Nothobranchius furzeri: one gene and its partners. The protein of the gene in region 2 interacts with the protein of the main gene of each other region in a pairwise test. Links are inferred from orthologs where the notes say so. Each region holds a gene or a part of one and is shown on either strand. Other genes may lie near its edges.

The links.
Region 1: the proteins of zgpat (region 2) and mipol1 interact in binary tests that used the Homo sapiens proteins (3 or more experiments, as listed by UniProt). The two-hybrid records come from large-scale screens. The link is inferred for Nothobranchius furzeri from reciprocal best matches to the Homo sapiens genes ZGPAT and MIPOL1.
Region 3: the proteins of zgpat (region 2) and zbtb8a interact in binary tests that used the Homo sapiens proteins (3 or more experiments, as listed by UniProt). The two-hybrid records come from large-scale screens. The link is inferred for Nothobranchius furzeri from reciprocal best matches to the Homo sapiens genes ZGPAT and ZBTB8A.
Region 4: the proteins of zgpat (region 2) and bend5 interact in binary tests that used the Homo sapiens proteins (3 or more experiments, as listed by UniProt). The two-hybrid records come from large-scale screens. The link is inferred for Nothobranchius furzeri from reciprocal best matches to the Homo sapiens genes ZGPAT and BEND5.

What each region holds. Positions count from the first base shown.
Region 1 is NC_091758.1:16,365,035-16,368,764, forward strand, and holds part of mipol1 (mirror-image polydactyly gene 1 protein), read left to right. Parts: intron 1-1,291; coding exon 1,292-1,397; intron 1,398-1,573; coding exon 1,574-1,679; intron 1,680-3,566; coding exon 3,567-3,693; intron 3,694-3,730.
Region 2 is NC_091755.1:51,593,718-51,596,115, forward strand, and holds the end of zgpat (zinc finger CCCH-type with G patch domain-containing protein), read right to left. Parts: intron 1,829-2,398; coding exon 1,414-1,828; intron 1,152-1,413; coding exon 1,013-1,151; 3' UTR 726-1,012; downstream 1-725. UniProt on the Homo sapiens protein: Transcription repressor that specifically binds the 5'-GGAG[GA]A[GA]A-3' consensus sequence. Represses transcription by recruiting the chromatin multiprotein complex NuRD to target promoters.
Region 3 is NC_091758.1:35,826,827-35,831,117, reverse strand, and holds the start of zbtb8a (zinc finger and BTB domain-containing protein 8A), read left to right. Parts: upstream 1-1,408; 5' UTR 1,409-1,542; coding exon 1,543-1,694; intron 1,695-4,291. Other genes in the region: gale (UDP-glucose 4-epimerase), read left to right, coding at 1-96, 172-230. UniProt on the Homo sapiens protein: May be involved in transcriptional regulation.
Region 4 is NC_091748.1:56,176,932-56,181,108, forward strand, and holds the start of bend5 (BEN domain-containing protein 5), read right to left. Parts: upstream 2,966-4,177; 5' UTR 2,779-2,965; coding exon 2,595-2,778; intron 2,524-2,594; exon of another isoform or gene 2,396-2,523; coding exon of another isoform or gene 2,242-2,395; intron 1,907-2,241; exon of another isoform or gene 1,771-1,906; intron 1,637-1,770; coding exon 1,506-1,636; intron 659-1,505; coding exon 181-658; intron 1-180. UniProt on the Homo sapiens protein: Acts as a transcriptional repressor.

The DNA of each region.
Region 1 (3,730 bases), on a different chromosome or scaffold from region 2:
GCAAGGTGGAATGTCCATGTTCTGGACAGAGACGGTGGAATTAGTGTGACTGAGGACGTCCACATCCAAAGACTGCTCAACATGGCAGCTCCTGTTAACAAGATCTGATGGCTTTCTGTAATTTATTTGTTTATTTGAAGTTTTAGTATTTAAAGTGAGAAAACATATTGTGTGCGGATGAAAGGGTTTCCAGAACCCAAAAGAAGTCCAGTTGGCTTCTTTTGATCTTTTTCAGCAGGAGAGAAATCAGCATCTCAGTTCATTTCAGAGCAAAGTCGGTAAGATTTTAATGTTTTAACATTAACAAGAAACAACAAAAACGTGGCTCATCAGAGCCGTGGGTTATTACACAATTAGAGGATCATAATAATGTTCTGAGATGGTAAGCTCTCGTGTGTGTTTTTAAATGATTAATAAGAAATGCTTGGGTCTGTCAGATTTATTAAAAAGTTGACTGCTTTTCGCTGAATCCTCCATCTTTTCGTTGATTCTATAATTCATGTTAATATGTCTCTTCTTTGGATATTTTTCAAATAAAATTGTGGAGGTGCTTCAAAGTACGAAGCACAAGCTGGTAAATTTAGATTTGATTAGTTGCAGTGTTTGATGGCCTGACTGAAATAGAAAGATAGTAAAAGCAGTTGAAGCAGGAAGATGGGGAGGTTGATTAGAAAAAGCTGATATAATAAAGTCAGAAACAGTCAATTATAGAATACGATGTCAGTCATATTTCAGTGCCTTATTTACCTGCTTTATTACGCTAAGAAGCAGCCTGACCTTTATGGTAATATGAGAGAATTACAAGAGAACATCAGTCGGTGCTTATTAAACCTGCTGCCTGCAGCGCTGCACATCACGCCTGATAATGTGAGGCCATCACCTCTTTTTAAAACACCTGACCTGACTACACGCCTGGAGAAATACTAATGAAACACCTGAGACCTGACCCGATGCGGCCCGACTGACCAGCAGCTGATCTGGATTGGCTGCTTTGGGCTGCAGATCGGTCATCGGCATTCACGTGTCATACTTTCACAGCTGCTTTGATCTTCTCTTGGTGGCAGACATGGAGAGAAAATTACAGTCGTCCAGCTAGATGCTTCCTCAAATGGTTTAATGCTACAGGACACACACATATACACTATATATATATATATATATATATATATATATATATATATATATATATATATATACATATACATATATATATATATATGCACACACACACACACATTCTGTATATTTTAATCGCTCATGACATGTCACTCACTGGTTTTGTCTTCTTCAGTTCTCATCAGAGCTCCTCGCCGGCTCGACTGCAGAGTTTTGATCGAGACAAAAACATCTCGTTTTTACTGAAGGAGCTGGATGCTTTGAGAGAACTCAACAACAAAGTAAGGGTCTGGATCAGCTGATGCTCAGCTGTTGTTGTAGGTTTTAAACACAAATACTCCAGAATTAATGAAGTAAAGCTGCTTGTTGTTTAGTAAAATCGTGTATTTGAACAAAATCCACATTTTACATTAACATTAACATTTACATTAACTGTATGTAACTGAATGTTTTTCAGCTTCAGGAGGAGCTGGTTCAGAAGGAGAAGAAGCTGCAGGAAAAGGAGGTCAATGAGGAGCTGAAGGAGGAGCAGAGGGAGGCTCAGCGCTGGGAGAGACCTACATGTAAGGACAGGGGAGCTGGGGAGATGAAAAGCTGGAGGTCTGTTTATTCTGGGCTGTACAATATTAGAGAACGAGATGGAGATGTGGTTGAATGTTGTGTCAGATGTGATCACTCCTCGTCCTCACCCCTCTTTCTGTTTTAGTTGAGGGTATGCGGGGGGGTGGGAGTCAATCAGATGGTTGTGTGGTTAACTCATAGACCCTTAAACTCAGCTCACTTGGAAGATGTCATTCATTTGCCTCTGATTTGTTGTGAAGTACTTTGTGATTCTGATATTGTGGTGATGATAAATGATTAAATGTCCCAGTTTGCACGTTTCAGTCACATCTGATCCAAATGTGAAGGATCACATGTGTCAGTGGTAGCCAGTACTCTTGAGTGTGCATGGTATTACTCAGTGACTGGACTCAGGGCAGGTTGAACATGCGGACGTTGTGTCTTCAGGTCCATCATATCCCTACCTGAGTAGACCTGATCTCAGACTCTTAAGTTCCTCTGCACCACAATACCAGATATAAACTTTGTGTGTCCATAACTTTGAAGGGTCTCCTGACCTTCACTCATCATCAGATGCTCCTCCAACCAACTGGTTGCGCTATCATGCCACTTGTGATTCCACTTCTTATTTTTTCTGAGGCGTGTTTGAGTGACCGCTCCTTGCATTTCAAAGGGTTTCCTTACTCATCACTGGTCATCATCGTGATCCATACACGTCCAGGTCCACCTTGTCCTTACGAGTCTTCAACTTTCCAAATTTTTACAGATGTGTCCAAATCTTTAGAGAACAACCCAAGTGTTGGTCTCCGGTTCTTTATTCAGTGTGTGTAGATCTTTCTGTCAGATGTTTCTATGGTTACTGAAGTCGAATTACATGATTTTTTTTCCTGATCTACTTAATTTCTGACTTCATCAGACTGGTCCAGTGCTCCATCTTACTGGAGAAGACATTGTTCATTACTAAACTGTTGTCTGATAGATGGAGGAGTTTCTCTGGGAGGATGTTTTGGTACCAGTATTTTCTCATGGCTGTCCTGAGGCTAACCTGAGCCTAGCCAGACTCTGACCCGGTCAGCTGGGGTGTTAGCTGTAAAAAGCTGAACAGAAATTAGATTGAATTCATCTTGATAGTTATGATAAAACCGTCGTTTTAACTAATAGAAGATATTTAGGGGCTCACCTGAGAAGTCTTGGATGTTAGTGCTGACCCATAAACACAATGCTCCCGCTTAGCAGAAGAAGGGGATGTGAAAGCAGACAATTTGAATTAACCATTATATTTTAGTAGTCTCCTCCTCCATGCTGTGTAATTGCCGGTTTGAGTAATCCGGATTATTTTCCCAGGAATGAGTGTTGGTGGGGAAGAGTGGCGGTGTGATCTGGGTGGTTTAGATGTGAGCCATGCACGTCCTGCATGCTGCTTCTCCTGGTCTGCAGCTCTGTCGCTCACCTCTCGTCTCGCAAACTCTTTATTCCTCTGGCTTTTTAAATGTGACCTGAGATTTATTTAATTTTTGACCAATTCCGCTCTTCCTTTGGAGTCCTCTGATTGTATTTAGCGCACTAATAATTCATGTGATGTTTTAAATGTTGGAATGAAAACTCTAATTCACTGCTTTTCTCTAATAACGTGGAAATAAAACCAGCTGTGTTTCTGTAACACCAGTGCCTCGCCATGGGTCTCAGATGAGCTGCCATCATTTCTGTGTTATTACTTGTGGAACACACTCTGTGTGTAGTAATAATGATCTCTGCTCTGATTGGCTGGTCAGTTGGAGGTGAAACTTATTGGATTCCTTCTCTCCTCACCTCCTTTCCTTGTCTCCTTCTCTCTCGATCCTTTCTTTTTCTTTATGTTTCACCTTCTCCTTTTCTTCTCTTCCTCTCAGTGATGTTGGAGGAGGTGCTGGCAGCTCAAAAGAACAGAGATCAGGCTCTGATGTCACGACTCCTGCTGGCCAATCAGGAGAGAGACGAGGCTTTGCTTCACGCCCGCCAACTGCAGCAAACGGCCCAGTATGATTTTATTCTGTGTTGTTCAGTTTGGTTATAA
Region 2 (2,398 bases):
GGTTGAGCTCTAGGACCAAGCGGAAAACAACCATTTGTGTTGAAGCCTGTTTCCCATTAGAGCATGCTGTAAAGATCCCCCCCCCCCCCCCCCTCCTCCACGTGAAAATCACGTCCATGCACCCACACCCCCCACGGTTTAGACGCGGCGCTCATGCAGGTGTCTCTTTCTGTTCCGACACTGCTACACGTAATATGTTTAATTTATTAAGCCTACAATTTATTTTTACTCAGTAACAGATATGATTTCAAATGTAGCGAATTGCAATTCTTTTTTTAAAAACGTACTCAAGTTAAAGTTAAAGTACAGATTCAAGAAACGACTTAAAAAGTATAAATATACAAAAAAAGCTTCTTAGGTGTGTTCTTGCTGTGTCGTATCTCTAATTCCATGCTGTAGTTCTTTTTTAAAACACAGAGCAGTTTTGTTTACCTGCTCTGTGTTTTAAAAAAGAACTACAGCATGGAATACAAAAGAAGCTACTCAGTTACAGTAACGTGAGGAAATGTAACTTGTTACTTTCCACCTCTGAATTTAATTTAACAGAGGTTACGGTTGTAGCTTCACAGATGTGATGTATATAATTCACATGAGATGTGACATTAAAACCACTATGATACTGGGAGTAAACTGCACTAAGCACCTGAGGAGCCGCTGGCCAGCATGACTCAGAACTCCCGCCAAAGTGAAAAGAAAACGTAGAAAAGTAAATAAATGAAGCGGAGTCTTTTTTGCACCAGATTTATTTGTAAAGTTGTGTAAGTTAGAAATAAAAGTACAACAAGTTCAGCAAGACTTTTAGTCGTGAAGAAAAATTGTTCATAACTTCTATTTTATATTATTGTAGCTTTAAACTCTGCCAGAAGAAAGCTTTTGTTTTTTAAAGTGAAAGAAAAAAAGATGGAAAAGTGCCGGTGAGAAGTGATCCGGACACAAAACTGAAGTGAAAACAACATTTATTTTCAGGAGGCCTCCTTTCTGTTTCTGAAGTCTTAAAATAAAAAAGTGGGTATCAGAACTCGGTCATCTTCTTGTGTGTGTCGGCCTTCCTGTGCTCGCTCTGGATGGAGAGCTCCTGTGCTTTCTGCTGGGCCAGCAGGCGGCGAGCCCCTGACAGTTGCTCCTCCAGCTGCTTAACTCTGGAAGCATCTCTGTGCAAAACACAAACAAACCCGGCATGAAGGAGGAGGAGGAGGAGGAGGAGGAGGAGGAGGAGGACGAGAGGGGTGACAAGTAAAGAGGATTTCTGGTAGCTATGGAAACAAGAATCTCACCTCACATTTTCACATCCTGTTTACATTCTCACACAACTCCTACCGCTCTCATGTTACTTTAAATACATCTGATCAGAAATAAAAGCTATCTGAACTCGACCAGAACTGATAAAGTGCTGTGAGACACATCTGGACCGACCTGCCCGTCTGCCTGCTCAGTGACTCGCTCAGTTTCTGGATCTCCCTCTCAGTCTGAGCAACCCTCTCAGCAGCCTGGAACAGCTTCACATTCAGGCTCCTCTTGGCGTTCCTTCCTGCTCTGTAAGCTTCCACCCCGGTCGCCGTCGCTGCCGATGGCGCAGCAGCGCCCCCTTCTGCAGGATCTGTGCATTTGTCTCCAAGCTTGTGATTTAAAAAGTCAAACACAGTTTGCCGCTTTCCGGGAACTCGGGGCTTCCGGCGGCGTTTCGGGCGGGAAGCTTGTGTTCCGTCTTTCGCAGCCTTGTTCTGAGTGCGTCTCTGTGTTAGCTCTGCACACTCGTCCAGAGACTTCCCCTTCGGTAGCACCACCGCCATCACCGGCTCTACTCGACCCTCCTGCAGCTTTCCTAAACCTGTGGAATGGAACAAGCTTTTGAAAAAAGGGAGCTGGGGTCTCATTTATCAAACATAGCGTAGAATCCTTACTACAACCGTACTTAAGCTCAGCAAAAACAAATGTACTTACGCCAAGTTGGTTTGTGATCTATCAAACATGGAGTACACACAGCTGCACGCAATCTCTGCTTCATAAATCGGAGACTAACGAGAAAGTTTCTCAGCTGCATTTTAGTCACATCCCGTCCTCACCACGCCCACTTACTGCCATAAATGGTCAATGCAAACTAGTGCCTTGTGGATCTCATGCATGTACATAAGCCGGCTGTTGCAGCGCTCCGCCAATGACGATGGCGACCGTAGATCAAGGCAGATGAAGGAAGCGCAATTTCACAGAAACAGAAACTGAGGTACCTGTGGGTGAGGTGGAGAAATGAAAGGAAGTGCTTTTGCAAAACAAATAAGAGAAAATCCACGGAGCGGCACAGCGTTGCTGAAGCCGTCGATGCTGTGAGTTCTTCAGAGAGATCTGTGGCGGATATAAAAAAAAGTGGTCCAATCGGGATTCGATCCCCAGACTCCCAGGT
Region 3 (4,291 bases), on a different chromosome or scaffold from region 2:
CTCGCAGAGGAGGAGACGTAGCTTCCTGCTATGCTGACCCTCAGCTCGCCGAGAAGGAGTTGGGCTGGAAGGCTCAATTTGACTTGGAAAGAATGTGTAAGCTCCTGATGAACCACACGCTTAATAATGCGGGACGACTCCTAGATAATGGCCTGATTTTGTTTCTCGCAGGTGAGGATCTGTGGCGTTGGCAGTCCATGAATCCCACAGGATTCAACAGCACATCTTGATGCAGCTGATTTGTTTCTAAAATGCTGCAAAAAATTTAAAATGATCACTTTTTCAGCATTTTTTTTCCTATAACCCATAAACTTAATCTCAGGCCTTAATATATATTTGCAATCCATTTTCAGTCTGTTTTTGAAATAAACTGCAGCTGAAGAAAATCTTTTCAATGTTTTTGTGCATTAAAATCACAATAATGAAATAATTAATCATAAGTAATCTAAAATGTTGTTTAATTTGGTTTTTAGGTTGTTGTTTTTTTGTTCGTTTTTTGCAGAAGCCAAACTATAGAGTGTATATAAATGGAGATCTGCAGAAATCCGGTGTTAACCTGAGCTCTGGGAACGCTGTGGTGGGTTTTAAAGGGACACTGGGGCTTTAAGTGGCTCCTTGGACCTTCGGGCACCCTGTGCATAAACACCCACGTCAGCACACACAGCTCCAGTCGCTGTGGCCGGGTTTCGGTCTTTAGGGCTGAGCAGGAAGTGCTGGCTGTGGACCCTGGACGCGCGCAGGGTGGGGGGGAGCCGAGCGAAGCGACAGAAAGCACCAGAAAATGGACATGGTGGCAGATTTAGGGGCGAGTCGACTCTACCGGGCGCCGGGTGAATCCAGTCACCAGTGAGTATCGATGGCTTTTCTTTGTGGGGCGTAAGCGGGTCTTGCCGACACCTCTCGCCTGAGATGGAGCCTCTCGGTGCGGGCAGCAGGCTGATCTCGCTGCTCTCCGGACCTCCGGGGAGAAGTGGGGATAAAAAAAACCGGGTGTGCTGCCGCCTCGTTCGTCTAGGCTGATTAAATCAGCGCTGATGTGTTTATTTCAAAGCTCGCCAGCAGCAGGAGGGTCGTGAGGCTGTTTTCTATTGTGTGCTGGCTGAAGCCTGAAGTGGGCGTCGCTCCAGGACAGACGGGGCTGCTCCGGTGCGGCGCTGCCCGCTTTTCTCTCGAAGGACTGCAGCGCTACCGGACTGTTTTCTAGGTCAAACGACTCCTTCAATCGCCGAATTGATCTCCACTAAGATCCCTTCTGGTTTTAAATGCTATTTAATAATAACCGTGGTGCTTCCGGCGGGTGTACCGTGGGTTATTATCGGGCGACGCGGAGCCTGATTCAGATATTTCATATCTAAGCTGCAGAACGGGGAAAGAAAACGAGGCTGCAATATAGCTCGGTGCTGAATAATTTTATTCTTTAAGGAGTCCGGCTGCTGTATTTAATTTCATTTTCTCATCCGGCCAGTCGTGACTAGTTGGACGGCTGGATTTCCCAGCGCGCTTTGAACTCAGCACAGGATTGATTAAAGTGTTTGTCACCCGATGCTCTTCGAGTCGGGCGTTGCACATGAAAAAGATGTTCTGACTGAAGGATTGCTCAGCCAATCACAAATCAGGAAGAAGTTGGGTGGGCGATCAGAACTGGAGGTGTTCCAGTTTAGAGAGACGGTTGTGTCACCCTCAGCTATGCTTAGGTAAGTCCATAGGGTCAGCTGAGTTTGGGAGCGGTTGCTGACTCATCAACACTTGGATCAGTGTGTGAACCACCTTTGTTGTTCGTTTGTTTTAAGGAAACTACATCTCAGAGTGTGTATCTGTTTTCCTCTGCTTGTCCGAGGCCAGCTTTTCTGGGGAAATCCTAAGGTGTTCCCAGGACAGACGGGAAATAAAGTATATTGTGTCCTAGGTCTTTCCTGGTTGAACATATCGTCCAAGAGGCATCCAAACCAGATTCCCACGTTACTTCAATTTGCTCCTCTTGATGTGGAGGAGCAGTGGATCTACCTCAAGCCCCTCCCAGATGACCGAGCTTCCCACCCTGTCTCTAAGTGAGAGCTCAGACGCCCTGCAGATGGAAAACATCAACCCCATTGAACTCTGACTGGCACAATGCCATCCCACAGCAGTGTGTGCCCAAGCTGGTGACCATGTTGTGGCTGTGTCTCCTCCACATGAAACTGAGGCCCCTGTTTGATTTGTTTCCTTATGCTTCAGTCATCAAATCCAAACCACACCAACAAGAGTCGGGAGATTTTGGATGAAACCCACAATCTTAACTCTGTTCAACTTATAAATCTGCTAATGTGGCACCAGGATAAAGATAAAACTGATTTTCCAGCAGTATAATGGTGAAACTTGAAAAATTAGAATATGATGCAAAGTCTATTTCAGTAATCCATCTTAGACTGAGAGACCATCTAAAGGAGAAGAAAATATCATTTCTATAGCGCCTCTCAAGATAGAAATCACGAGGTGCTTCACAAAAACAAAAAATGTAAAAATATAAAGAATTAAGAAAATGTTTAAAATATGTTTAAAATGAGCAAAAAATAGACAAATGTGATTAAAAAATGTAAAGAAAGAGAGAGAGTGAATAGGAAAGAGGGAAATCAGTGGATCCTGAGGAAGGTGGAATAGGTGGGGAGAGCAGAATAAAGAGAGAGTGGTGAAGAAGGTCATCCAAAAGCCAGCTTGAACAAGTGAGTCTTCAGCTGCTTTTTAAAGGAGACCACTGAGTCCACTGATCTCAGGCTCAGGGGGAGAGGTCCAGAGTCTGGGGGCCACAGCAGCATATGTTCTGTCACCTTTGACCTTTAGCCTGGTGCTGCACAACCAGTAGGCTTTGATCACTGGACCTCAGGGACCTGCTGGGGGTGTTTGGACTAAGAAGATCACCAATGTAAGATGGTGCTTGTCCATGTAAGGCTCTATAGACCAGAACCGGGATCTTGAAATGAACCCTGAAGATGACTGGCAGCCAGTGAAGCTGGAGGAGAAGCGGGGTGATGTGGGTGTGTTTGGAGGACCTAGTCAGAAGCCGAGCACAGGCATTCTGAACCACCTGTAGACGGTTCAGGGAGGTTCTGCTCAGACACGTGAAAAGAGAGTTACAGTAGTCTAAGCGTGAGGAGATGAAGGTGTGGAGAACTTTCTCAAGTTCAGAGCGGGACAGAATGGGACTCAGCTTAGCAATGTTCCGGAGATGGAAGAAGGAAGAGCGAACAAGAGAACTGACATGAGAATCCAGGGTGAGAGCTGGGTCAAAGGTCACGCCAAGATTCCTGACAGAAGGTTTGGTGTGGGAAGCAAGCTGACCAAGAGAGTCTCTGACTTTAGGAACCAGCTTGTCTGGGGCACAGATGAGGATCTCAGTCTTATCTTCATTCAGCTGTAGAAAGCTCCCAGCCATCCAGGCTTTGATAGAGTCTAAGCAGGTGTGTAACAGCTGCAGCTTAGACATCTCATGGGGCTTAAAGGAGATGTACAGTTGGATGTCATCTGCATAAAGATGGTAGGAGATTCCTTTGAAGGAGCTCAGGATGTGCTGAAGAGGAAGCAGATAGAGGAGGAAGAGCAGAGGCCCCAGCACAGAACCTTGTGGGACACCATGGGTAAGAGAGGTGGTGGAGGACCTAAACTTGGAGACGGCCACAGAAAAGGAGCGCTCAGAAAGATAAGAGGAGAACCACTCCAGAACAGTTCCTGATTGGCCTACCCAGTCTCTCAGCCTCTCCAGTAGCAGGTGATGGTCAACAGTGTCAAAGGCTGCAGTCAGGTCCAACAGGACCAGAACAGAACAGAACAGTCCCCTGCATCACTGTGAGTCAGAAGGTCATTAGAGACCCTAAGAAGAGCTGTTTCAGTAGAATGAGCTCTACGGAAACCTGACTGGAAGCTATCATAGATGTTCTGTTCATCAAGAGCAGCTGTGAGTTGTTTAGCCACTGTCACATTCTGCTCCTGCCTCCCTGACTGTGTCTCTCCCCTGCCGTTTATTAGTCCCTACTGGTTTCACCTGCCCAGGTGTTCCTGATTTGCCCCTGTGTATTTATACCTCCCTTCTTGTATCAGTCTTGGTCAGATCATTGTTTGTTGTCAGCGTTGTTTTTGTTCTGTCGTTCCCGCTCTGCCATTAAAACTACTTTTATTTCATCCGTGCCTGCATTCCTGCCTCCTGATCTGCTCCACCACACGTGGTCTGCCGTCATCCACACCCTCAACATGACAGCCACAGCCTTTTCCAAGATCTTGGAGATGAACGGAAGTTTAGAGATGGGTCTGAAGCTGCTAC
Region 4 (4,177 bases), on a different chromosome or scaffold from region 2:
ATGTAGTAACTTTTAGTAAACATCACTCTCCCCTCTGACTTTTTGCTTTCTAACTGTACAAGTAAGAAAACTGTTTAAATTTTAGCTGATTACTAAGGTCAAATGTTATCAGTCAGTTAAGGATTTGTAGACAGGAAATGAGTGGCTTGTGCGGAGGCGTGCATGCTTCTGGTTTCTTACCACTGCCCAATCTCATGAGAAGTACATCTTGCAGTCTCCTGTTAAAGTCCCTCAGTTCTTTGACTTCTGTCAGCAAGCTGCCATACTCTTTCAGCTTCTTGGCCTGCTGCACTAGCTGCCTACGGGTTCTCTCCAGCTCCTGCTGCAGTCGCCTCATCTCCTCCTCCTGTTGCCTGTAGCTGTGAACCAGCTCCTCGTACAGAACTCGAGGAACAACAGCGGCGGCTACCTCCGACACGCAATCTGTGTCCATCTCCAAATGTTGCTGTTGTTGCTGGTGATGATGTCGCCGATGTGCTGCCTCCACATCGTCATCTTCGTCATCTGCATCCCCTCCTTCTTCAGCCAGCCGATCCTCATCCAGGTCCTCTTCACCCTCCATACAGGAGTTGGCTGCATTCCTCTCTAGTCGTGCCACAACAGCTGCAAGGCTCTTGGAAGAGTTGGAGAGGGGGCGTCCATGATCGTGTGACAGGGCCTGGAGAAAATAACTGTCATTTTAGGGTAGAAATAGGCCATTGACCTGATAACTGAGCTGCAACAAAATGATCAAGAAACTACAATGTCCTGAAACAAAAGAACTAACTAAAGAGAGACAAATAAGTAGTAATAATATCAAACAATCTAATTTTTTTTATTCAGATTTTTATCTCAACCCAAAATCCAGAACTTTCAGTCTCTGGAAACCTTTCATAGAATTTAACAAAATCTGCTGCTGAATGAGAGTTTCATCCTAACACCTTACCAAAAATGTAACTTATTTTAACTCTTCTAAGCTAAATGAAACGATGTCACATCAGATTAAAGCTGACATTACAGACAGACTCCAGTCAGCTTGTTTAGACTGTGCAGATCACAGCAGAGACACGGACGAAAAGAGTCACCGAGTTCTTTGATGAGCCGCTCAGCGGATTTGCTGGTGAAAGGGCAGCTGTCCAGAGTGCTGAATTTGTGTGTTAATCCAGCATATGGTAAAAATAGCGTAAGGGATTTTGGATGTCAGCCAAGTTTATGAAAATGTAACAAAGCATCAAATTTCATATCAAAATTAAGATGACTTCTTTAACTACAGAAATATTACATAATGTTGATCAAGCTAATTAGGGTTCTTTCTAAAGTATATACATGGTCAAAAAGAAATATTACTCTTATTTGGTTCACTTGAATTTATCTTATGAATGCCTTGATGCAATAAATATAATCAGACTTTGTGAATGAATGTATAATATAATTTATATTTGTGCTGTTGTTAGTAATAAACAATATATCCTCTGGTATAAAAAAATGTCACTAAATGATTGTAAACAACTCATTTACATTGTTACCTTTTTATGCCTGAGTGGCATCCTCTCCTCTCCAAAACGGTTCTCAATAGAGTTTCCTGAAGACTTGATGGACATCTTGGGAATTTTCATCTTTTTTTGTGTAATGCTGTCTTCAAATTCTTCTACTGTATCTGTGAATCCAATAACAGGCAGTTTAGGTACCAAAAAGTGCAGACATCTTAAAAATAAAAGAGAATCCACACAACTGATCACAGATAAGTTCAGTTTAATATTTTAATCATGCATCCAGCCTCTTCAAACTAACCTTAGGGGTGTAAGCTATTAAAATCCATGTTTCAGCCAATCTGCCACTGATTTGTCTCATAGCCCAAACGACTGAGTCGCAGGGTTAGGGCTGTATCACCATGTATAAGTATAAAAACTTGTGTCCATACCAAAGCAGCAGCAAATCAAACACATTCGCCTACACAGTTTAACAAATCATCATTGGTTTTCGCAAAACCAGAAGGCTACTGTGTAACTATGCACGGAAGTGTCACGGAAACTGCAACACCGCAACAGTAAAACGAGCTACAGCAAAGCCACAGACAAGCTAACCGCACAGACACAGTCAGAGTAACAGTTATACAACATTTTCAAACCTCAAACAAACTAAGATATTTAAAAATCCTGTATGTCAGAGACGTTTGTGTAACGTCAGGACAGTTCTGCGTCGGGTTTGTTACCCCACCGGAGCTAACGTGCTAATGAAAAAACGGATATAGCATGCTAGTACCGTTAGCTTCATGTTGTAAACAATCGTTGCGACTCGCAAGCGTTACATGAAACCACGAACACTGCACTTCAGAGCCAGGACACATAACCGCCAGCACAACACACTGCGTTAAACCCAGCTTTGACGAAGTATGACAGCCTTCTAAACTTAGCATGTCTTGCTAGCTACGGCGGAGGACGTTGTTGTTTCTGTTGTTTCAGCTGTTAAATTCCAGCTGATCGCGTCCCGACTGTTCGGAACGAAAAGACTTGCTTTGACAGCTGTCTGAGTGAAGTTAACAGCAGCGTTACTGCTCTGACAGAGAAAATTAGAATCGGTAACGATGAAAGCAAAGTGTCCGGAGGGTAACTTACCTGCAAGGGCAAGAATCTGTGCTTGGCACGGCTGGCCTGCGCAGCCATTCTCCTCAGTTCTGTGAACCAGATACACCTTCTGATGATCAAAATCTGTTCTGTGCAGAGGTCTGAAATCTTCGACACTTGAAACGGGTAACGCGTAGCATATATCGTCTTCAAAGAATCTAACAAAAGCATACATTATTTAGTTGTCTTTGGTCCTGCACTTTGGATATGGTTGACAGTTTTTCCCTCACAAAGTATTAAAAAAATATATACCCATGAGGGGGTTGGTGATGGTGTCTGCACTCGACTACTCATGCCTAGTCCACATCACCAGCGTAAATTATCAAGGCAGAAGTAATAGACATGACACCCACAAGCAGACATTAACATGGCAACTTCTCTCCGAACATTTACATTATGAATAACAAATGCATGTTTATGCAAAGAAGTGTTAATTTAAGATATTATTTAATGTGATTCACTCCTGGAAAAAAAGGGAGTTTAATTATTTATTTTTTAAAGAGTAACTAAACCCCAAAATAACTTTTTTGGGCTTATAAACCATATAATTGGGTCCTTACAAATACAATCTCTCTGTTTCTGTGCATTTTTGACATGTTTGTGTAAACTTAATTAAATCTAGAATCTAGCTCTAAAAACGTCTCAGTGCTGCCCCCCGTGGCAGAATGGCGGCTACTGCATTTTAAACTTGTGATTGGCTGGGGCTGGAACAATTTCATGTCATTGGTACAGTCTCCTCCCACTACCCTCCCTCCTATGGAACTAGGATGGAAATTCCCCACACTTGGCCATGCCGCGCTGTGCCTCCTGGCAATGCCCACTTTCATGGCATTTTCCAAATCTTGACTAGAGGTGGAGTTACATTTTCTGATGGTGTGCAGTCCCTCTTTAAGTTTTAATTCTCTGTTAATTTAAAAATAATATACACATGTAAATAAAAAAAAAACATTTGACTGGGAAATGTGACTATCGGTCATGTGAATATTCTAAACAACAGAGTTAAAAAAAATAAAGTCACAAACATTCTTGTATTAATATTCCCTAAATTTTGATACGTTGATTTTCTATTTATTTTAACTGGTCCCATTTCCTTTCAGCTAGCTATTAAACTCTTTTACAACTTTGTCATTTTTAAACCTAAACACAAAGTGACATTGGGAAACCCCAGTCTCCTCCCCGGTTGGCTCAAGAGCCCCTGAGCTTAAAAAAATATATAATAATATTAAAGGTAATTTTCTGGTTTGCTTTGCTTTACACCCTGAATCACACAAATCCCCTACTTCGATTTAAATGAAAAATAATTATGTGTGTTTCAACAATGTCTGTCACATAATTTGAGATCTATTTGCTTGTAAAAAAAATGTACTTAAAAAGACAACAAATCAGACATTGCACATATGACTTAGATATCACTGCAGAATCTTTTCTCCCCAACACAGCTGCCACCTTCTACATGGCCAGATACATTTTTTTCCCATGTTTAATGCTCCTTATTTCATGCAGGAAGAAGGATGCAAAGCTAACTAAACTCAGTAATTTTTTTCTTCTTCATCGGTTTAGTGATGTAAATTTGG